Diceros bicornis minor: one gene and its partners. The protein of the gene in region 1 interacts with the protein of each later gene in a pairwise test. Links are inferred from orthologs where the notes say so. Each region holds a gene or a part of one and is shown in the gene's direction. Other genes may lie near its edges. The genes, in order: TRIM41, CHD2 and TOP3B.

Region 1 (7,908 bases):
CAAGGTGTAAAAAATAACCTTGAAACCACAATTTGCAAACAAATCCGCAAGTATTTGTGCAACACTAAGTGTCAAAGTTGAAACTCTTGGAACACCAGCTTGTTTAGACTCATAAGTTCCCAGATAAGACTGCGGTAACAGTAACTCCCCAGGGTGGCCTGAGCAGAGCGGGGCTGGACTACTAGCAACTCTGGCTGTTTGACATTTTCTGACCAATTCCCGTCCAGACTGCCTTCACACAGTGTCATGTAAACCCTCCCTAACTCCCCGCTTCGATACACTTCCGAGACTGAGGCTTTGTATCGGCTTTGTATCGTTCGCTTAGCAAGGGAAATAAACCAGCTTTATATGATCAACAGACTTCTCTTGTGGTCTGCTGTGTATGTGGAGGAGACTTCTACAGATGAGAAACAGAAAACGGGCTGAATTTGCGGGACTAAGGAAACAGTTAACAGGAAGGAATGAATTTCAGTTGAAGTTCAGGAAGAATTTCTTGACAAGACGGGTAAACTGAGGATGTTCATGTTAGCGTGTTCCAAAATAAAGGACATTTTTACATTCCTTTATGTGTGGGGGGAAAAGTGGAGGCCGGATTGCGTGGGGCAACATTTTACAAAAAGATCGACTCTTAAAACTGAGAAATAGAATATACTGAAGACGAGGATCTCAGATTACCAGGGCACCTCTTTCTTGACCGGAAATCGAAACCGGGCGGCGGCGGTGAGAGCGCGGAATCTAACCTCTAAATCACAGAGTAAGGCGGTCGCGAATCGGGCGGCCCAGGTGTCGCCCCGGACACCCTGTCGTTTGGTAAACAGAAGGCGCCTAATACGTGTTGAACGTGGGTAGGCGGATTTCAGCAAGCGAAAAGGCGGCCTGAGGAGCCGGCTCCCAGGAATTTCTCCGCCGGCGCCTGCCCCTCACTCACTCCCCTCCGGCCAGGGAGGGCCTTAGGGCCGAACGCATTCCAATTCGAGGTCTTCCGCTCAGCTACGGGCGCCCACCGCTGGGGATGCGGAGGTCCACTAGCTCTCGGTCTCGAGAGGAGCTTGTTGTCTTCGCCATCTTCATTTCCAAAAAGGGTCACATCCAACGTGGGGCTCGAACTCCCAGATCTTGAGATTAAGGATCTGAAGTTCTACAGGCTGAACTAGCCTGACCACCTCCCCGCTCATCTGTGTTGTGTCCCAGGAGACCAAGATCCACGTGCAGGGAAGCAACTGCACGTGTATTATGGAGCGTCTACTGTATGCCTGGGTCTGTCCTAGAGACTAGAGCCGGGGGATCCGAAGACTATGCCCCTCGACTAGGAGAGGTGACCGTGGGGGCTTCCGAGGGCAAAGCAAGGGGTTAGCTGAGGCGCGGCCCCGAACTCACACTGAAGCATCTACAGTGCTATGCTGCGAGTGCGGCTCTCCCGCGATCCTGCTCCACTGCCCGTCTCCCTGAAACAGAGATACAGAGGGACACACACCCGTCCTTCCCTTCAGGTGATAGCCCCTCTCCCCCAGAGGCGAAGTGAGCAGATGACAACGGAAATCGAAGCGAGAGCAAAAGTTGTTTCCGCCCGGTTTCGAACCGGGGACCTTTCGCGTGTGAAGCGAACGTGATAACCACTACACTACGGAAACCAGCATGGCGGCGGGCCGCCTGACACGCACCGGACTCTACACAGGACGGGAACCGCAGGGCTGCGCGGGCCGGCCGAGCCGCGGTCACGCCTTGCGGCCGCACTCTCCCACACAGCAGAGCCACAGCTCCCGGGACGGCCTAGGACAGCCGTTCGCCCACGAGGACTCGTGCTTGGCGCGTGCAGACCAGCCCCTTAGTGGCGCGCGTCCACGCGCAGGCTCCCTCCGGAGCGAGGTCAGTTCGCGTGCCGGTTCTGGCATCGCGCGGCGTCCGGCACTCACTGGGCGCTCCGCACATGAGTTATGGTCCTGTAACTTCCCCCACGGTTTTTTAAAAAATTAAACAGTCATCTTGTTAAAAGCCTCAAGTATTTCTATCGCACAAATAATCTATGTCGCAGAGATGCTCTTGGTAGCACAGCGGCATCTTTCCCAATACCGTTCTACATCCCGGATAAGAGTCTCTCAAGTAAAATCAAACCCACAAACCCAACTTGAGTCCCTGCCCTTAGGCTGGGACCCCATGCAGACAGACCTGGAGGTATTTTGGGTGCAGAGCGCGCGTGGTGCACAGCTCAGAAAGTGCTGTATGAATCCATGACATTTAGAAAAAAAGTTTTCTTTTTTAATACATTGACTTGGTTCAAAATTCAAAAGATACAGAACGACATATACGAAAAAGTGTCCTTCCTACCCCGGACCCTCAGCCTTCCCAGAGAAACTCTGCTGCTAGGATTCTTCCAGACAGACGACAACGATGATAAAGGGTCGCTAAACCTTATATTACACTATGTGCTAAGCAACATTCTAGTCGCTTTGCATGACATTAATCTCACAAAACCCTCTGGACAAGCACTATTACCCTTATTTTACATGAGCACACACAGGACTATTAAGATATCAAATACATTTAACATTTTCCCCTCTTTTTCATAGATGGTAGTGTACTCTACACATCGTTCAGCACCTTGCTTTTTTCACTTAAGAATACATCTTTAAGAGGATTCCCATTTTACAGCTCGAGTGCTCCACGTTTGAACGTGCCGGTAACGACCTGTCACCAGTCTTTTACTGACGGGCAGTTGGGACGCGACAGCGACCGGACCGCAGCTTCTAAAACGGGTGTGGAAACGCCGACTACAGCTGCGAGGCGGGGGGGAGGAGGGGGGAGAAGAGTCGCAGGCCCCGCCCCTGCGCCGTCTCCGAGGGACGACTGAGTCCTCAAACAACAAAGTCCTCCGCCTAGAAGGGCCGGAAGTACTTCAGGGAGCTCACAGGGCCCGCCCCTCCGCTTCCGGCATGGGCTGCGGGGAGTCGCTGTTGCGACTCCGTGTCTGGTCAGTAGGATGGCGCCGCGCCGATGCGGTCATAGCACCGAGAGCGGAGGGCCACCAAGCGCTTCCACCGCCTTCCGAAGTTTGCCCCCAGTGGCAGGAGATGGAGGAGGCCGGTCCTTCTGTTTCGCCTGCGTTCCCCGCTCCCTTGCATCACCGAGACGTGGGCCTCCATCGTTCTAGCCCTCCTGTCCTGTTCCTGGGTGTCTGCTAGAGCGTCTCCTCGCCGTTTCCTGTCGCCCAGGGTCCCGGCGGGGGCAGAGAGGGAGAAGGGGGCGTAGCGCAACCGCGGAGGCAACTCGCGAGCTGCGGTGGCTCCCAGGCGCCGGAAGTGTTGGGAGGGAGGCCGGAAGTGAGGGGGCGGGGCCAGGAAGTGAGGGGGGGGCGGGGGTTTATAAGGAGGCCAAGGGAGCGTTAGGGCAGATTTGCACTCAGGGCCACTTGCGGGACTTGGCAGTGGCGCTCTGTTCTTCCCCTCCTCTCGCAGGGACACGGTTGTCGTCTGGGAGTAGGGTACTGTGTGTGGAGGGGTGGGTTGTTGGGAGGACATTTCTCTGGCTGCGCTTGAGGCAAAGTGTGAAGAGGCAGGGCTGGGAGTGGGGCCGGGTCGTCAGGGCGTCTGAGGGGGAAGACCCCCGACCCCCGCCGCCCGTCTACACTGGCTGACTGGACACTAAAATGGCTGCCGTTGCCATGGCACCCAACCCCGTGCAGACCCTTCAGGAGGAGGCGGTGTGCGCCATCTGCCTCGATTACTTCACGGACCCCGTGTCCATCGGCTGCGGGCACAACTTCTGCCGCGTGTGTGTAACCCAGTTGTGGGGAGGGGAGGATGAAGAGGACAGGGACGAATTAGACCGGGAGGAGGAGGAGGAGGACGGGGAGGAGGAGGAAGTGGAGGCTGTGGGGGCCGGTGGGGGGTGGGACACCCCCATGCGGGATGAAGAGTATGAGGGTGACATGGAGGAGGAGGTCGAGGAGGAAGAGGAGGGTGTGTTCTGGACCAGTGGCGTGGGCGGGTCCAACTGGGATAACATGGACTACGTGTGGGAGGAGGAGGACGAGGAGGAAGACCTGGACTACTACTTGGGGGACATGGAGGAGGACCTGAGGGGGGAGGATGAGGAGGACGAGGAGGAAGTGCTGGAGGAGGACGAGGAAGAAGAGCTAGAGCCCGTCACCCCACTGCCCCCGCCTCCAGCCCCTCGGAGGTGCTTCACCTGCCCCCAGTGCCGAAAGAGCTTTCCTAGGCGGAGCTTCCGTCCCAACCTGCAGCTGGCCAACATGGTCCAGGTGATTCGACAGATGCACCCAACTCCTGGTCGAGGGAGCCGTGGGACCGAGCAGGGCATTTGTCCCAAACACCAGGAAGCCCTGAAGCTCTTCTGCGAGGTGGACGAAGAGGCCATCTGTGTGGTGTGCCGAGAATCCAGGAGCCACAAACAGCACAGCGTGGTGCCATTGGAGGAGGTGGTGCAGGAGTACAAGGTGAGAGAAGTAGAAGAAGGGAGTTTAGTGGGGGTGGAGAGGAAGTAAGAGAAGCTAGGAAAGGAAACATGTCATCCTCCCAAAGAATCTCTTGTACTGATGAACTGATTCTTCTTATCCAAGGACTTACTGGCACCAAGGTGGGTTAGAGTGAGAAGGATCCTGTAAACAGACAAAGCATACAGTGAAGAAGACCAGGGAAGACTGGCTTCCTCAAAGTAAATTGGGCAAAGCTGGTGATGCCATATCACTGGGCTTCATCTCCTGGGGAAAAGCCACTGCTGTTTCACACTTCTACTGTCCCTAAGTGTAGGAGTGCAGATGACAGGCCGTAGGGCTTTACCACCAGTCTCATTTTCCTCTGGGTTAGTCTTAAGTCTTTGACTGAGACCTCTGGAGATGGGAAGAACTTGGGGCCTCAAAGAACAAGAAAGGGCTCTGAGGAGCAGGAGCATAGAAATGACCACTAGTGTCAGACACAAATGCTCTACACAGGCCTTCTAATGGGTATCCCACCCACCCCATGATATGGCGTGGTTCTCGCAGAGGATTTTTGTTGGATCTGCATCAGTCTGATGTACTGACCGGAACTTCTTCGCTGGGAATTCAGAAAAAAGGGAGAGGCTTATAAGTCAGAACACCTGGCTCTGAATTCACTCTGGCAAGTCTCTGAATGCCTTTGAACTTTAATTTCTCCAGTATTATTACCAAACACTTACTAAGCACTTTTCATGGACTATCTCATTTAAAACTCAAAACAACCCTGTGAGTTTGATATGCTGTTTCCATTTTACAGATTGGGAAACAGATATATACATAGGACCACACAGCTACTTGTAAGTGATGGACTTGGTTATGACCCCTTCTCCCCTGGCCTATATTGTTAACAATGTCACCACCATTTGAATGTCTGTTGTTAGTTTGACTTTTCTGACATGTGACTTTTCTTCTTGGAGTCTGATTTTAGTTTGGTTAATATCTTGCCCCCTACTTCTGATCCTGACTCTTTTTGGACATAAAGGAGATTTTTCTGTGAGACAGCCAGCACAAATAGCCATCCAGGACAGAACTGAGTGAAGGCCCAGATGGATTTGAAGCAGTGGGACCAGGAGGGGGAGAGGATAGCTGCTTCTGTGTGGTCTGCGCAGAGCTTTTTTTGTCTTATGACAATTGTAGAGTAACGTGTCTGGATCTGTGAGTGATACAGCTAAGACAGACCTACATCCCCTTATAACAAGTAACTATTTCTTCCACACACTAACTGTCAAACCTGGCTGATTATCCCAATAACTAGGAGATTTCAAAAGTACCCTAGGGATTCTGAATCAGTGACGAGGAGAATGTCTTTAGAAAGCCCTGCCTAGCATGGGAATCACTGCGTTGGTAACATCGCCTGCCTTTTAGGCCCTGCGTTATTAGGAGAGGTTGTGAGCTCCTTTAGTCCTTCCCTTTAATATTCCCTCGGTTAACTCAGTTCCTAGTTAACATCAATGTATGTTCACTTTGTTAACTGGATCCTGGGGTGGACTATCCATGGGCATTCTACTCCTTCTTCTCTACCTTCCTTCTGCAGGATTCTTCCGAAGAGCTTCTGAAATTGGATTTTAATTTATGTTAGCCACATCTATTGAATGCCACCCCAGTAGAGCTCTGCAATTTGGGGAGGCCATATGGACACAAATAATCTGATATTAACAGATCAGCAAATGTAAATATGTAAGTTTTATTATGTAGAACTAATTCAAGTGATGCCCTTTCCAACTTATAGGCTATTTTACAGGTAGGTAGTTTATTCTTTTCAGATACGTACACTAACTAGCAATAGCTTGGCACAGTGTTACTTTGTAGAAGTATTTCCTTATTGAATAGGTAATAACACACAAATGATCTATAAATGAAGCTCCTAAAAAGTTGAAGGTCTTTGAAAATTTCTCTTAAATAGTACTCTGTTTGGATATGTGCTTATGAACTTTTTGTCAACAATTTAGGAAAAATATTAAGTGGGAAATTTAAGCATCATGAATTCTGACTTAATAGAGTTGAAATTATTGACACTACTGGAGAAAAGTAGAAAGTAATATCAAAAGGTAAAATTTGGGGTAGTTTATACTATTTTCACATTATGGATTGATTGTAATCTTATTATTACTGTAATTTTTTTCTACAACCGCTTATCCTGTGCAACAACTGCCTTTTCTACTCTGGGTCAATAACCTCTTTAGTTCAAGGGTCATTATCAGGCTGTCATTGGCAGCCTAGGCCTAGACAGGGAATACTAGATGACATTTACTGATCTTTTGCTGTATGGCAGACACTGTGCTAAGCATACTGTCCATGACGTGGATTCTCTTATTCCCAATTCCCATCTTAAGATGAGGGAACTGGTAGCATGGCTTGCCTCAGGTCTGCGTTTAGGTTCAGGTTGGAGTGTAGGCTTGAGCTCTTCTGCCTTGTATTACCACTCAAGGAAAAGGAAGGAGAGGGCAGAAGTAGTAGAGGAGATAAAAAGGGAAAGAGCAGATAGGTCGGGCTTATCTCACCCTTACTGGTCTCTCTAACCGCCCTTCAAAGAAAAAGATCCTGCTACAGATGATTGGAACACACGGCTCAAGTGCATATTTGCTGTGAAGGTTAAAACCTTAGGAGGAGAGGGTTTTTGTTTTTCATTTAGCAAGTAGTTGAATGAGAGAGAAGGCAGATGGACGGAGAGAAGCATAGAAATTGAAATAAGTAAAGTGGGGCTCCTGCCCACAGGAGCCCCTGTGTCTTGGAGGAGGCACACTTGTAAATGATTACAGTGCCTGGCAAGTATTGTAAAGGTTGTATTCATGTTTCCTTGGATTACAGAGGAAGTTGGGGATGGTAAGGATCAGGGCCATGGTCAAGTAGCTGGGTTTTAAAGGAAGAATGCCTTGGGCCAAGTGGAAAAGGGCTATCTCAGACAGAAGGAACAGCGTGGATAAAGGTATGAAATTATACTCAGGAAAAGACAAGTAGTTTTATGTGGCTAAAACTAAAATTCTAGGTAGAAGGGGTAGGTGTAGGAGAGGAGGCTAGAAATGTAGTGGCAATGAGAGCCTCATATTTTGCAAGTGGTGGAGAACTACTGAAGGATTTTTAGCACAGGCACAAAATCATCAAAAGAGTAGAGATGGAAGTTATGAGGAAGAATGCTCATGAGGGGGAAGGGACCATAGGCAGGAATATTCATATGGAAGGACTTTGTGAGGTGAGGGGCTCAAGTGAGGTCCACCCCAACTCTGAGTGTGGGGCTCTGTAGTCAGCAGGATCCTATGTTTAGAGAACACGCCCAGGGCTTCTGTACATGAGTGCAGGTGGAGGGTTGGAGGCCTTTGTCATCATCTGAAGAGAAGAAAGGGGAAGAAGAGAGTATGATGCTCATTTGATACCTGTGATGGGGATCAGGCTTTGAGCCCCAAACCACTGCAGGGAGG
Region 2 (7,908 bases), on another chromosome or scaffold:
TATAGCCTAAAAGTTAGTAAGTAAAAACAAAACTCAAAGGGCTGAAAGGAACTCTGTCAACTCTTCCACCTGTCTTCAGGGTTCTAAAGGGATTTAAATATGTCACTCAACCTGGTGGGTTATAGGGAGAGCTTTTCCCCTTGTACCTGCGTTTTACTGCTTAGTGGGTTAGAAAGTCTTTCATGTTCTTACCTGCATGGAAAGCTTACCCTGTCCTTTGTGTAGCCCTTAGTATATTGCCAAATCTTGACTGGGTAAGTATTTGTGAAATGGGTATCCAGTTTGTATCTTTATCCAGGCTTGTTGCTGTAATTCATTTTTCCCTATTGATAGGTATGCCTGGGTGCCGTTTGTTTGATGCTTCCTAAGCTGTTTAGGACTACTCAAATATTTATTGGTTATTAGGGAGCAGAAGGAGCATGAAAAAGGTAAGGTGACTTCTGCCTGGCACTGGCTGGGAATTTTAGAAACATGCTTATTAAAGGTAGATTTTTTTTTCCCTCTTTACTACTGGATTTCTTAATCTGGGAGGTACTGATGGAACTTGGCCTTTTACCCCCCGAAATTGCAAGCAGCATTTTTGTGTGCTTTTTTTCTTATACATGTGCCTTTTTCTGGAAAGAGGATCCATAGTGTTACCAGTGTTAGAGTAATTTACAGAAGAACTGTCAAATACCAGAACTGTCAAATACCAGGAAGGTCTACTCCTGAATACACTGATCAATTCTGCAATGTTAGAAGTACAGCCATTTTTTGAAAAATTCAGAAAAATTCAAAGAATACAATTAAAGTTTTAAATAAGATATGGTTAAAATCCTGTTTACGCCTTCTCCTTGTCACTTTCATGAAATTGGCATATAAAAACATTGGCATTTTGAAAACGTGTATGGTTCACGTAATGTGTTTTGTTTTAAAAATATAGTTTTGAAATTGTCATGTTGATATTTATAGATCTAATTCGTCCCTATTCTAACTATTGTAGTTAATTGCATAGTATGACTATTCACATTTTATTTTTAGATTTTCATACATGCACATTTAGATTATTTCCTTTTTTTGATCTTATGAGCAGGGCTCTAAACATTTTTATACTTCCCACCTCCTCACGAATTTGATAATTTGTTTAGGTTATACACCCACAGATTGGATTGCATGATTCGTATGCATATTTTGAGGTTTACTGGATAATGCCAAGTTGCTTTCCAAAGCCTCTACTGATTACTTTTTCAGTAATGGTATATGAGTACTATTTTCCCCACTTTCTCGCCATCATTTAGTATTATCAGACTTTTTAATTTCTGCAGAGCAGATGAGTGTAAAATAATCTGTTGTTTAATATACACTTCCCAAATTACCGTAGAGGTTTAATTACCTTTTCATAAGTTTATTGGCCATTTCAGTTTCTTTTCTGTAGTTGCATGTCCATTTCTTTGGCCCGGTTTTCTATTTGATTTTTCTTTGATACGTAATTCTTCATGTGTTGTATGTATAATTCTTTTGTTGTGTGTACATTGAAATTTCTTTTCTCAGTCTGTTACTTGTCTTTTACCCTTGTTTATAGTGAAGCTTATTCTTTAGAATCATAGGACTTGAACCAGAGGTGGAGAGGGTCTTAAAGATGCAGTTACATTTATTTAAGGAACTAGATCCAGTATTCTGTATCAATAGGAAACTCATGACTTAATGATCTTTGCCTTTCTGTCCTCTTAAGACACACATAAGGGATTGAAAAGGAATTGTTCTGCATCAGCCCTGGGTGGTTTGATAATCTGTTTAACTGAAGAATGTATGTATGATGGGGACAGCAATACCACTCAGGTTAATAGTGTGGATCCCATAATTCAGACTGTGGGGGTGGGGGATGACATCATATACACACTCTTGGGTTAAGCCCCTTCTGTAAAATGAGGATAATTTGTCTTATAGGGTTGTCGTAGGAGAGGAGAATTTCTGCATATACCTGCTATATAAGTACTCCATAAATATTAGCTCATTGATAGAGCTTAGTCTGGAAATAAGTTTTATGGAATTCCAGTGTAGATTGCTTTGCATTTTTACCAGATTTTGCTTTCACCACCACCACCACCAACAAAAAAACATGCTCTGCCAAGCAGTGCTGCCATTTTGTAAGTTTAGGAAGATCACCACCACCCAAGTGCTGAAATGGCAGCTATTGGGCAGAGAACCCACAGGCTTGCTCTTTTAAGAGAAGTGTTGCTGTGCCGCCCTCTTGTGGCCACTTGGAAAACGGCAATTAAAAATTAAAAAGGGAGAAGTAGTTGTTAATCCTGCTTGCTTTGAAAGTCCACTTGTAAAGAATTCTTAATCACTTCATTTTTGCCTACTTCAAAAAGGATTTTGAAGATATACCAAATCCTTATCCACAACTGAAAAGAAGTGTTAAACTTTTTTTATAAGCATTTATTTTCTTTTGGAATATAAAAATCTCAGTTTTGACTTGAGTCCTTTTTATTTTTGCATTGTATTTCCCTTGTAGTGATTGCAACTTAGATTTTGAGTAATTTTCAGATAAATTTCTTTTTCATGAGGATTCTACATGGTAGATAATGATTGCTGAATATTCCATTTTTAATTGCCTTATAATTATTATGCCATTGGAAATCAGGTAATTTTATTACTTTTTGGTTATGCGAAAGCTTAGTTAAAAGACTCCTCATTTGCTAACTCTATTTGACGGTTTTTGTTAGAGTCTTGTGGATTTTCCACATTGTCTTCTCTAGGTCACCATTGCAAACTACAATTTAGTTTAAATAGTATTTAGTATTATAATTAGGCATTAATAGCAAATTTGCATAATATTTCAGGAAATATTCTATCCTTTGAGAGAATAATTAGACTATCAGTGCCTTAAATATGGAGGTATTTATCGTTTTTTTTTTTTTAATATTCCTTTTCCATTTCAATATTTAGGAACTTGTCCTCCTAGGAGAAGTATGCAAATTAATTGTTATGCCTTTATTAAGAATCTTTTTAAAAAACCGTTTTCCTCTGAATATTATTTTAAGTCTATTAAATTTAACTTACTGGTTCGAAAAATAAACACCTATGAAATAACACCTATAAAAAAGAAACACCTATAAAAAAATAATTAAAACCTAGTCCTACTCTCATTCAAATCTTTAGCTCGTTTTGTGGAGGATTGGGTGTACTTACATCCCTTGCCTTGGATTTGACTCTTTTGGTTGGATTTATTAGCTATTTTAAACATTAAAAAGATTAATACTTACATAATGAACACCGATGAACTCACCACTCAGCTTCAGTCATAAAATATCACCAATATCATTCTCTGATCACATCTGCCTCCCTCATTGCTGAAAATTCCCCCAGAGGTAAATACAGTTGTGAATGTGGTGTTTGTTTTTTCCTGGGTTCGATTTTCATAGTAAGTTGTGTTTTTTTTTTGGAATTACACAAGTAGTTCATGAGATCCACTAGTATACTTCAAATAACCCATCCAAGAGAATAAACCCCTGTTAGCAATTTAGTGATTAAAATGTGTTTATGCACATAGATATGTGCTGATAGAAATATGGCTGTTTTTTACCTAAAATGTACTGTATGTGTTGTTACATGTCTAGAGGTCGCTCTCCTACACCAACTGGGAAATACAGAGCTGCACAAGAAGACATGTAAAAGGTTATTTATAATTTTATTGGTTTACGGTGAACAATTTGGAAATCTAAATATTCTACTCAGAAATAGAGAAATATGGAAGTGTATCAAGGATATTTGTAGCTTATTGGTTAAGTGAATAACTTGAAAATAACCTAAAAGTCTCATTAATAGGGGACAGACTAAATAAAATGTAGCATATCATACTATGAGGCAGTTCGAAGGGAGTGAAATGTTTAGACATTTACATGTACTCTGACATGGGTATTGGCATTGGACATTTCCATTATATCGGCAATGATTACTGCTTTTCAGCACAAAACACTATAAGGATTTCTAGCTAACCAAACTGTTGTAGTTAACTTGAGCAGACCAACTCTGCTTTTTTTGTGGCTTTCTGGTTCTTTAAGTTTGTAGTTGAAGATTTTCTATCTTGTTGGAATGTTTTATGTTTCGTGGCAACCATACTGTGGTCCTGTGACAATTTTAGTTGGTGGTGATTGCAAAAATGTGATTCTAAACTTCATCTCTTGTCTGGAGTTAAGCATTATAGTAGTTAAAAAACTAAACCATTCATTTCAAAAGGATTTCGAAAAGATTGCATATTCTAGCAAAGTCACTTAAGTCCCCCTGTCCATTCTTTTCTTTAGTATACCAGGCATGGGGAACATCAAAGACTACGACTTAGCTCTCAAGTCTTTTGGGGAGGTGAACAAATTACTTGTATAAAATGGAACAAATGGGAGGCAAAGTAGTGTAGATGTTAACAGCTGGGGCTCTGGCGTCGGTCTTCTAGGCCAGGATGTGTGTCATTGCTAAAAGTGAGGAGAGTCAGCGGAGTATGGTGGTTGCAGCTCAGACTCTGAAATGAGGCTGCCTATTTTCAATTTCCAGTGGTAGTAACTGCTATGACAGAGATGCTATAATGGAGTATTATGGAAGTACCTCATAGGCACAAAGTTTAGGATTGGAAAGTGCAAAGGATGTTTTCCTAGAGAAGGTAATACCTGAGGCCTCAAGAATTAGAGAGGTATTTAGCTTTAGGTGGAAGCAGAGGTTGGAGATGAGCAATACTAGGGCTTACTTTCTGCTCTACAAGTAGTTCAGAATGGCTGGAGCAGTGAGAGTAAGGAGAAGGAATGGTTAAGAGATGAGTCTTGAGAAATTGGCAGAGGCCAGGTTTCACGGGGCATGCTGAGATTGGATGTTACCAGTGCCCATGCCCAGGGTGGCTGGAGGATGTGGGCAGCACTAGCTCCCTAATCTTTCAGGCTTCTCCAAGTACTTAGCTGCTTCCGCTATATAAATGTAGCTTCCGGGTATATCCCTAACACCTTTCAAGTAGACTGCCCTTTCTAAATTCCTTACTTATAAGGAAATTCTGGTGCTGCCTCTACGTTTCTGTCAGTGAGCAAATGGTGGAGGCAAAACAAACAAATTGCAACTAGCGCCATGGATTGTGTGGTACTGTCTCACCAATGCGTGCCAGCTGGGAAGGACTTTATGTTAGAAGGGGAATCTGAGCTTGAATGTGAAATTCTGAAATTTCTAATGTTTGGGTAAGGCTTTGGCATTTGTAGAGTGCTGCTTTCATTTATCGTTTGATGCTCTCATGACCCTACAGGTACAGTCACAGAGGATGGCACAGGTTAAGAGATGGCACAGGCCTGAGATGATCTAGGACTGAGATCCAAGCCGTGGATACCAGAGCCTGCACTTTTTAACTGTACTATCCAGCCTTCCTCTTTCTTATCTCTTGCCTGGTGACCACCTTCTGATTGGTCATAGGTGGAGAATAAATGACTTAAGATGCCTTAGTCACCTGGACTAGTCCACTTTAACTGTGCAAAGGGCCAAGGAGTGAGGAAGTATAAGGAGGGCCTGAAAGTGTTGAGCCACAGTTAAGGATGTCTGACTGGTTTTGGACATTGTCTATCAGGAGTAACATTTATTTTTTGAATCTCTTAAGATTTTGAACCCCTGTGGTAAAATAGAAAGAGTACGGGCTTTAGAGCCAGGCTTGGGGTGGAATCCCTGCCCTAACCCCCAAACCCCCTTTCTAGTTTTGTCATTGACTAAGTTACTTAAAACAGCTGTTTTTTCATTCTGCTCATGGTGATGATAATGCCTAATGGTGTTGTCATGGGGAATAGGCAAAATAATACATATAAAGTACTTAATGCAGTGCTGGGTACCTATTCGATGATCAGGCAATTAATAAATGGTTTTTCTCTTCTCTGCCCCCTCCCCCCCCATCATTCTCACTGCTTCCTCATCTTAACTGAAAGGCCCCTGAACTGTAATGTGCTTACTTACTATGGATCACATGGGACTTTTGGGTCGATGCCAGTTTCCAGTGTACTGCCAGGTTGGTTCTGTGGGCGTGTTTGTCAAGTGATATGACCTCATTCCTAGCTTGGAAGATAACAGTGGTGGTAAATATGAAGCCTCCCTTCTTGACCCTTTCTGGCTTCATGCCATGTCTCTTTCGTTTCCTGGTTGCTAAACTCAAGGACTTTTCTGTTAAGTTAATGTTCCTCTGGGTTGCAGGTTGCCACTTGCCTCCCTTTCTCTGCTCTGCCGCTCCTAAATGAAAAGGTAGTTTTTAAGCGAAAGAGTTGAGTGAGCTGTCCACGTCTTTTCCTGTAGCATCCATCAATTTGAAGTCTTTTCTCTTTCAAGTATCTTCACTCCTACCAGCATGCCCCTGAATTGCTTTTTCACTACTGAGAACAGGGGGGGTGTATTCCCTTCTCAGCTCCCAAGGTTGATATTTTATCTTCCCACAGCTTTCAGTTGTTTCAGCTTTCATTGCCTACTTAGGTTGCTCTTTCCTGAGGGGTGTTCGGAATGAGAAAGGGCGGGGATGCAGTTTTTATTGGATTAGTCATTCACAGTCAAATCAGAGTGCTGTTTTTGTTTATTTTGTTCTCTTAAGTCTACTAGTTGTAGCACTCACTGCAGGAGATTCCAAGGCAGGACCTCTGGTTTGGGGTTAATGTGTATATGTTTTTATGTAGCTCTCCAGATGAGCCTAATTTGCACCTGTTGTTGAGAACCACTGATTGGATAATTGCAACCAGATTGCATTCTTACCCTTTGGGTAACTCTGCCCTGGTTTGGTTTTGTTCTGTGTTGGTTTTTTCTTTCCCCTTTTGATTTTGTTTTTGTCTTGAGGAGGGAGGGACTGATACTGAACAAGTAAGACTTAGTGGATGCAGACAGATCGGCTTGGTTTCAAATCCTACCTGTGTCATCTTTGGAGAGTTACTTAACTCCTTCCAAGCTTCAGTTTTTCCTCATCTGAATGAAGGAGAAAATAATATCCCCCTTCCTAGTTTTTGTAAAGGAGCTAATCTATATAAATTAGCTGGTAAATGGCATCATGTAAGCACTCAGGAAATGGTAGCTATTAGGGATGTTGAGAATGATAGTAATGACATTATTTGTAATATAAGAACATAAAAGTGAATTTGAAAATATTGATCCTGTATTACCCAAATTACTATCTACTGTCATTTTACTGCTAGGATTTTTTTTTTACAGATTCATGTGGCAGTTTTTAAATCTTTTTTTTTTTTTTTTTTTTTTTTAATTAAGTCATTCAGCATCTGAAGAAGCTTCGGGTTCAGACTCAGGCAGCCAGTCAGAGAGTGAGCAGGGCAGCGATCCAGGAAGTGGACATGGCAGCGAGTCGAACAGCAGTTCTGAATCTTCAGAGAGTCAGTCGGAATCTGAAAGTGAATCGGCAGGTTCTAAATCTCAGCCAGTCCTTCCAGAAGCCAAAGAGAAGCCAGCCTCTAAGAAGGAACGGATAGCTGATGTGAAGAAGGTATCTGCTTTGCTGTACAGTGCAAATGTACTGCCAGCGAGGACCAGCTAGCAGACCTTTATTTCCCATGGAAATCTCATTAGTATATCTTGATAATGAAAACTACAGCCACCTCTTCTGATAATGGACTGTGTATGGATGTAAATGCAGACTGCTCTCTGCTTTACCAATTGATATAGTGGATACAGGGCTATAAGGAAAACCATTACATGAACCATCAAATTATAGGACAGAAAAACAAATTTTTTATAGTTTTGGTTTTTAACTTTTAAAAAAGGCAGTCAAAATTATTTTTTTGTACAATACTGAATAATACCGGAGGGAATCATTGACAGATGATTGTTGAATGCAATTGTAAAGTTTAGCGATGGATAATTGTAATCCAAGAATAAGGGCAGTTTTTGTTACCTGAATAATGGAAGAGAAATACTTCCCACAGA
Region 3 (7,908 bases), on another chromosome or scaffold:
GACATGCCCAGACCGCCCCCTGCTGCTTCTGAGAAGACATTACAGGCGCTGCCCACTGACTCCAGCATGAACGCATGCTATACACACACACACACACACACACACACACACACACACACACACACAGGGCACCCGGCAAATTCAACTCTTAACAGAAGAGCTTAGAAGGGAGTACTGACTGGCAGGGCAACAAGAAGACCTTCTGGAGTGCGGGAAATATTCCTTGTCTTGATCAGGGTGGTGGTAGCATGGGTGTTTACCGGTGAATGGATCATCAAGCATACGTTCATGACAACAGCACTTTACTGTCTATAAGTTTTACACCAACTTTTTTTAGTCCATGGGATTGTGCATGAGATGTCAAGAAAAGACTTGCACTTTTGGTTCAGTTTTCTGATCATCTGGGGGAGCCTTAGTTTGCAAGTTGCTGTCATGTATGATTCCTGATTTAAGAAAAACAAAGGCTGAGAAACTAGAAGAACGACAATGTCTTGGTTGTAGAGAAATAAACTCTGAGTTCCATTAAGGAGCCTGCAGCCTAAGGAACTAACTTTCCCTACTTGTGGGGAGTCTAGGCCAGGCCAGTGGACAGCAGCGGAAGCCAGAGAGTGAGGCAAGAGCTGAGGTTTGTTTCTTTCAAGCACCACTTATCAAAAGGATTTTCCTTTCTCCTGTTGAATTGCCTCACTGCCTCTGTCAAAAATCAATTGACACACACATGCTTGTCCCAGACTGGGAGCTCTGTCACACGCGTCATTGGTCTCTGTCTGTCTCCTTCCGCCAGCACCATGCTGGCTGATGACTGTCTTACAGGAAGGAGTGAGATCAGGCCATGTAAGTCTCCCAACCTTGTTCCTCTCTTTCAAGCATATAAAATAAATAAACAGACAAAACAAATTTGAGAAACAGTTACAAGTTTAGAAGATAGGCCAAAAAAAAAAAATCCGACACATATATAATAGGAGCTTCTGAAAAGGAAAAACAAGAGAATAGTCTCAAGTCAAGTACAGACACAGATTCAAGAAAACTTTCCTGACATTAGAAAAAAATTGTTTGAAACCATATATTCAGAGGGAAACTGTGAACCTGAGAAAACTGATCACAATGACCGACACCAAGATGCGTTCTAGTAAAATTACTAAACTTAAAAGAAAAAGAAATATACTTTGGGCATCCAGGCAAAAAAAAAAAAAACAAATCACTCACAAGAGAAAGAAAATAAGACTACCAGACTTTTTGAGAGCAACACTTTATACCAGAAGAAATTGGAGTGACATATTTAAGATACTCAAGGAAAGAAAATGTGAGCCAAGGATTTTAGGTCCAGCCAAACTCACTTCCAAGTATAAGGAGCATACCATAGTCAGCCACAAAGGCAGAGATGCACAAGGAGCTGACGTAAATTAGAAGTAAGTACAAGAAACACAAAAATGCCTGAATTGATTTACAAAACATCATAGTGAGAAAAAAGAATAAAATTTACCGGCCGGCCCCGTGGCTTAGTGGTTAAGTGCGTGTGCTCCGCTGCTGGTGGCCCAGGTTCGGATCCCGGGCGCGCACCGATGTACCGCTTCTCCGGCCGTGCTGAGGCCGCGTCCCACATACAGCAACTAGAAGGATGTGCAGCTATGATATACAACTATCTAGTGGGGCTTTGGGGGGGGGGGAAGAATAAAATTTACCCAGCAGACAATGTCATCAGTGTGCTACAGGAGTCGGGAGGTTTGAGTCTCACTCCCCCTGGGGTCTGGAGCTCAGAACCATGCAGGCTCACCTGTGGTGTCATAGGAGTGACAGTAATAACTAGCCTTGTCTTCCACCTGGAGTCCGGCGATGGTTGGGAAGGCTGTGTTGCCCAACTTGCAGCCAAAGAACCAAGTTGAGATCCCTAAGGGCCGATTGTTGTTCTTGTAGATGAAGACTTTGGGGACCTGGCACATGCTGGTACCAGTTTGGGGCATATCCCCTGATGTTGCTGCTGCTTCCTGTGTAGCGTACTGTGACCATGTCTCCCGGGGAACCCCAGCACAGAGGCCAGCTGAGTCAGCACAGACTGGGCCCTGGAGTCTGGAAAGATAGAGAACGAGAAGGAGTGAGAAGCCCTGTGGCAAGTGGGTGAGAACTTGACTTCTGGAACCTGGCTGCCTAGTCGTGAAACCTGGCGCTGCCATTTACATCTGTGTGACCTGTTTCCTTATGTGTAAAATAAGGATAATAACAATAATACCTAATTCCTAGTGTCATGAGAATTAAATGTATTCATAATAGAAAAGTGCCTAGAACAGAGTAAGCGCTGGGTGGGTGTTAACTATTTACAGTGTTAGCAAGACCATGGCCCAGCCTATGCCCCACCAGAGAGAAGAGACCCAGGAGCTCTCAGGTGTCCCATCCACCACAACTAGGCGCCTGTGCATAAGTGAGGAGAGTGTAGGGGTTCCTCCCAACGGTGAGGAAGTCAAAGCGTTCCTCTGAATCTGGGTCATTTGTCAACATAAGTGTCCCCGGAATGGCCTGCCCCACAGCTCCCTGGGAGGTCTGTGGGGAGGACTCCCCAAGGGGCTCTCCAGGCAGCAGGGGAGCACAAGCAGCTGCAGTTTCCCAGCTCCGCGGAGAATACTCAGACAAGCAGGCTTCCAGAGCTGACCATTCAGCTCCCCTGCCAGGCCCAGGCCTCAGGTCCTCCTTCCTACTCTGTGGAATGAACCCCAGAGCTGGATTAAACAAGCAGTGGGGCTCTGGTCTTGCCTCTCTGCCAACTGGACATACTCTTCAGATCCAACCTTAGTCCTGGCTGCTGTCCGCCGGGGCCTGTGTGGAGAGCAGCCTGTAGGGCTCAGGGTGGGACCAGGAGGGAGATGGGACTTGGGTCAGTGTGGTGGCAGCTGAGGCCAGAAGGATTGATTGGATCTCAAATATGATTTGAAGACAGTGATGGATACCAAGTGAGAGAAAGAGAGGAATCCTGGAAGCCTTCAAGGCATTGGGCCTGAGCAGCCAGGAAGGTGAAGTTGCCGTCTTAGCAATGGAGAACCTGCCAAGGAGTGGGCTGGGAATCAGGAGTTCTGCTTTGAAAGGGAAATCTCACTGTAACTTAATTTTCTGCATTTCCCAACCTTAATTTGACCATAGAACTTTTCTTTTTCCAGACATCTGTCAGGGCTAGTATTCCAATAAAGACAAGTTGGGAACAGCATCTACAGGGAGCAAAGGAAACGTTTGTACGCTGTTATTTAAAAGATATTAAAATCAGGTCATGAAAATTATTTTTAACTTTCCATAATCTTAATGCTCTAACACAAAAAAGATTACTTTTATTTTCCAATTCATCTTCCAGATATATTTTACAGTTTATTTATTCATCCACAAATGTTTGTAGCATTGAAAGAAGCCTGCTCTACAAACATCTGTGGTTTGTTTTTCGGTTTTTTATTGTGGTAACATTGGTTTATAACATTATATAAATTTCAGGGGTACATTATATTGCGACTTCTGTATGGACTACATCGTGTTCATCACCAAAAGTCTAGTTTCCATGCGTCACCATACGTGTGTGCCCCTTGACACACACACACACACACACACACACACACACCTGTAACCACCAGTCTGCTCTCTGTTTATGCGTTTGTCTGTTGTGGTGGTGGTTGTTGTTGTTTTATCTTCCACATAGGAGGGAAATCATGCATATTTGGCTTTCTCCATCTGACTTATTTCACTTAGCATAATGCCCTCAAGGTCCAACCGTGTTGTCGCAAATGGCACGATTTCATCTTTTTTACGGCTGAGTAGTAATATACACACATCTGTAGTTTTTAATTATTTTAATTATTAACAGCATACACGTTTCCATGCTTATCATCTAGTTTTCATCATCATTGTAATGATGATTGTCATTATTGCCTCCGGGGCGGGGAAGAATGGGGTGGAGGGATTAGGGATCTCGGCAGATGCGGTGGGCAAGGGCCAACTCGGGGCGTGCTCCCGGAACGCGACAGCCACGGAACCCGCGGACGCAGGTGTGCGGGCACCGGCGGGGAAACGCGGGGACGCCAGCAGCGGCCCGACCCGGAAGTAGAGTTGCCGGCGGCCGCCGCGAGCGGAGCTGAAGCCGGAGCCGGGGTGGGGCTGCGGGTGAGCGGCGGGCGGCGGGCTCAGGGATGTGGGGAGCGCGGGCGTTTTCCACGCACCGGGGGCCGCCAGCCCCGCGGCTTGGGCGAGGGTCCTGGGCCGGGCTCTTTGCATTCTCGCCTCTTCCCCGGCGGGGTGGACCCCCCCGAACCCCGGGACTGGTTTGGGGGTTCAAGGAGGTGGCGATGGGCCGGCACCTGGAGGGAGCAGGCGCTGCAGTTAATACTTTTCTTCATCGAACCTCCCGCAGTTATTGAGAGGGGTCTGTTGCCCGGATTTGTTGTCACGGGTGGGGAAACTGAGGCTCAGGGAGGCGGTCGGTCCACGCAGGTCAAGGCAGGGTCCACGCCGCCCCGGAGCCCTGGCTCGGCCTCGAGGGCGCCCGGGCGTGTTTCTCTGAGTTGTTGATGTGGGTGAGAGGGTACTTTTGTGAACAGACGAGCGAGAATCCAGGGGCAGTCATTTCTCAGAGGTGAAAAGAAAGATGATGGCCTCGTCCTGCCTATTTGTCGCTCAGCCGTTGGGAACAGGAGGTGAAAATTCAGCCCAACCAGGGCTTGATGGCCCGTGAGCCCCGGGGGGGTCCCTAGAGACTTGGCAGAGGTCACCTGACACTAGTCTGAATTGTTCTAAACCTCAGTTTACTCCTAGTTGAAGAAATGAGGACACCGCCAGCCCTGTGGGCTTGTTGGCAGGATTCAGTAGAGTAGCGTTTAGAGCTATAGCGCTACAGACGACCTTAATTAAGAAGGTGTGGTTTCTTCCCCTCTTTTCCTGACTCCATAGGTGTCTGGTCAAGTTCTGAGGTGGGAAATCCTAGGGCTGTAACTTCTGTCGGCCCACTGCCAGGCCTGCACTCCGGAGCTGAGTCCACATGTTCATGAGGGCTGACTTGAAAGGACTTGATCTGCAGTGGCTCCCAGAAGGACTCCTACCGTTGTGGTTTTGCTGGTGAGAGTTGACAGGGTAATAACAGGCTTACCTGCTGCTCCCTTTCACTTTCAGCCCTCCTAATTACAGTCCCAATTTAGGGTGTTTGCTGTCAACATCCCCTTAGCACTTGCTAATCTCCCTTTTTGAAGTAAGAGGACAGATGTCAGGCTCAGCACTTTGGCAGGCAGCAAGATCAAACTTGATGTGTCATGTGGGTTACCGGAAGGAACCGAGTTCTGGCCATTGATTACAGGCTTTCAGTTCCTATGAGGCTATAAAATTTCCCTTTTCTATATATTTAAGCTTTTTTAAAAAGCAAAAACGGAAGTAAATAATAATGTTGGTAAGGCAAAGCAGTAAGATGGTGTATAAATGTTCTCACACCATTGCTTTCAGCTTTCCTGCTCATTGGCTTCCATTTTGAAATTGCAGATGTGCCTTAATGGAAAAATAGGGAGGCCTCAAGATTAATCACAGTTACGACTGCAGAAATCTTTTAAGAAGTAGAACCTGGTGCAGTTAAAAACAGTGTGCCTGGCTGGACGTAAGGAAGCATGAGTTTCAGCCCCAACTCAGCAAACTTCCTAGGTTACCTTTGGAAAATCCCTTTCTCTGAGTCTTAGTTTGTTCTTCCTTGAGATGGTTGTACCGGATCATCACCAAGATCCCTTTCCCAGGACTCCCTGATTCTGTATCCTTAAAGGAAGTGGTATTTATTTTCCTAATAAAACAGTGATACTTAGAAATTACAAAGTACTCATGCAGAACTGAAGTATAAACTGTTGAACTAGAAGGTGTGTTTTGCCACATATCAAATGTGGACTAGCCGCTGCACAGCCTGGCAGTGGACAGGTGATCTGAAGCTGGGCATGATGCTGACGTGCTTTTGTGTGCACTGTCCAGTTGTATCCCTAGTCCTAGATAAATGAGGTAATCCCTTTGAAGATGCTAGGGCAAAATGTTTCTCTGGAAAGGGATCTTGAGACAAGAATCTGTTGAGCTCCTTCTTGGAAGTGGGAGTGCGGGGATGTGAGGTATTGCCCGGTGGCGCCTGTAGAGCTTGCTCTGGGTGAACTTGCGGCACCCACGTTTGAGTTCCCTGTCCCTACACCGTCATTCGCACGTGTGCTAGACATGGGTCTTTGCTGGGGAGAGAAACTCAAGACCGCTCGAGCTCTAGCTTGCTTTGATGAGTATTGTTGGAATTATTTCCTATTACAGAGGGCTAATTTCCTTATTATATAAACCACTCCAAAAATAAGATAACAACCATCAAGTTGACAAAAATGGGTAAAAATATGAATAGACAGTTCACAGAAAAGGAAGCCAAATGCTTTTAAACGTGAAGTGTGCCTCTGAATGTTGAGGGACTTAGGTGTTTGTCTTTTTCATACTAAAGTTCATATTTTCTAGTTTCATTTTTTTATTTAAATCTTTGCTAGAAATTGGAATCTGTTTTGGTGGAAGTTATAAAATAGGTGTCTGACTTTGTTTTTCTTACCATAAGGTTGCCCGGTTGTCTCAATACAAGTCTTTTTCTTATACAGTGCTATGTTTGTCAATGTCGGTGCCATACTTACAACAATCAGAAAGACAGAAAGGGTTCATATGTTTCTTTCACTCAGCCAGCGGGTATTAAATGTCCTCTGTCAAGCTCGAAACCAGCTGTTGAATTGCCAACAGTGATTCAGACATCAGGCCACTCGTGTGCAGCAGGAAGAAGAGGCAGTGACCAACCGTGGCATGATGGGCAGAGGGTTGTAAGGAACGGCCAGGAGGAAAGGATTCATCCCGCCGGCGGGTGTAGAGAGAGCTCTTTGAAGAAGAGTTAGCACTTGAGCTGGGCCTTCGGACAGTTGATCTGCATTCTCCAGGCTTGGCAAAACATTCCAAGCAAAGGGAACAGAGGCTTGAAAATGTGTTTTTTCTTTAGACGCTGCTGTCCAATTTAATTGGCCAGAGCATGGCTTGCAAAGTGAGAGGTGGAGTGGGGCGGGCGGGAAGATGAACTAGAGCCTGTGAAGGGCCTTGAAAGCTCTGCTGGGGACCAGATCCCCTGGCCAGTGGGTCTCAGGCCCAGTGGTGGGTCAGAAGGACCTGGGAGCCTGACCTGGGCATCTCCATTTAGAACAGCATCCCAGAGCACCCTGATGCTTAGGTGAGGTGGAGGTGCCGCTCTCCGCCCCAGGGAGTAAACAGAAGTACTGCACAGAGGAGGGCAGGGCATTCACCCTACCCCAGCCCCTTGGTCCGGGTCTAAAGGCCCAACGTCTTCCTAGCATGGATTTGGGAACAAAATTGACCTGAGGTCATGGGGCCACCTCAGCTTTTCCCAAATGAAGCCAAATTCCCAGGGTCATCTCTGAGCCAGTTCAGTTGACCTGACCAGTTGTTTGTATGTTAGATGTCTCCAAAGTTCCCTAATTTTTTTTTTTCTTGCCTCAGGATTATTTTTTCACTTTTTAAAGTGAGTTTCCTTGTTAGTGGTATAAGTTCCACTGGAAGCATTGCTATTTTCTGTGTGTGTTTTCTTCTCTTTAGGGGTCAGTGTTGACAGTGGTATTGAGCTGCAGGAGAGCAGTTTCTGAACTTCTTCATCGCCATTTCCCTGAAACTGGAGTGTGGAGGCCAAGGGTCCTGCCAGCTTTAAGACAGGATGAAGACTGTGCTCATGGTTGCAGAAAAGCCGTCCTTGGCCCAGTCCATTGCCAAAATCCTCTCTCGAGGTAGGGAAGACCAACCCCAGCGTTCTGTATGGCTTTGATCTGTAAGCCTCGTTGTTTCTACTTTACACATCATTTCTTTCTTTCTCCGAAGTGTGACTTCAGCCCGCTGGAGTAGATTCCA

The links.
Region 2: the proteins of TRIM41 (region 1) and CHD2 interact in binary tests that used the Homo sapiens proteins (3 or more experiments, as listed by UniProt). The two-hybrid records come from large-scale screens. The link is inferred for Diceros bicornis minor from reciprocal best matches to the Homo sapiens genes TRIM41 and CHD2.
Region 3: the proteins of TRIM41 (region 1) and TOP3B interact in binary tests that used the Homo sapiens proteins (3 or more experiments, as listed by UniProt). The two-hybrid records come from large-scale screens. The link is inferred for Diceros bicornis minor from reciprocal best matches to the Homo sapiens genes TRIM41 and TOP3B.

Annotation. Positions count from the first base shown.
Region 1 is NC_080740.1:94,207,837-94,215,744, forward strand, and holds the start of TRIM41 (E3 ubiquitin-protein ligase TRIM41), read left to right. Parts: upstream 1-3,632; 5' UTR 3,633-3,643; coding exon 3,644-4,453; intron 4,454-7,908.
Region 2 is NC_080744.1:87,827,232-87,835,139, reverse strand, and holds the start of CHD2 (chromodomain-helicase-DNA-binding protein 2), read left to right. Parts: upstream 1-3,093; 5' UTR 3,094-3,553; coding exon 3,554-3,660; intron 3,661-7,236; coding exon 7,237-7,468; intron 7,469-7,908. UniProt on the Homo sapiens protein: ATP-dependent chromatin-remodeling factor that specifically binds to the promoter of target genes, leading to chromatin remodeling, possibly by promoting deposition of histone H3.3.
Region 3 is NC_080774.1:30,421,726-30,429,633, reverse strand, and holds the start of TOP3B (DNA topoisomerase 3-beta-1), read left to right. Parts: upstream 1-4,010; 5' UTR 4,011-4,131; intron 4,132-4,914; exon of another isoform or gene 4,915-5,094; intron 5,095-7,602; 5' UTR 7,603-7,717; coding exon 7,718-7,787; intron 7,788-7,908. UniProt on the Homo sapiens protein: Releases the supercoiling and torsional tension of DNA introduced during the DNA replication and transcription by transiently cleaving and rejoining one strand of the DNA duplex.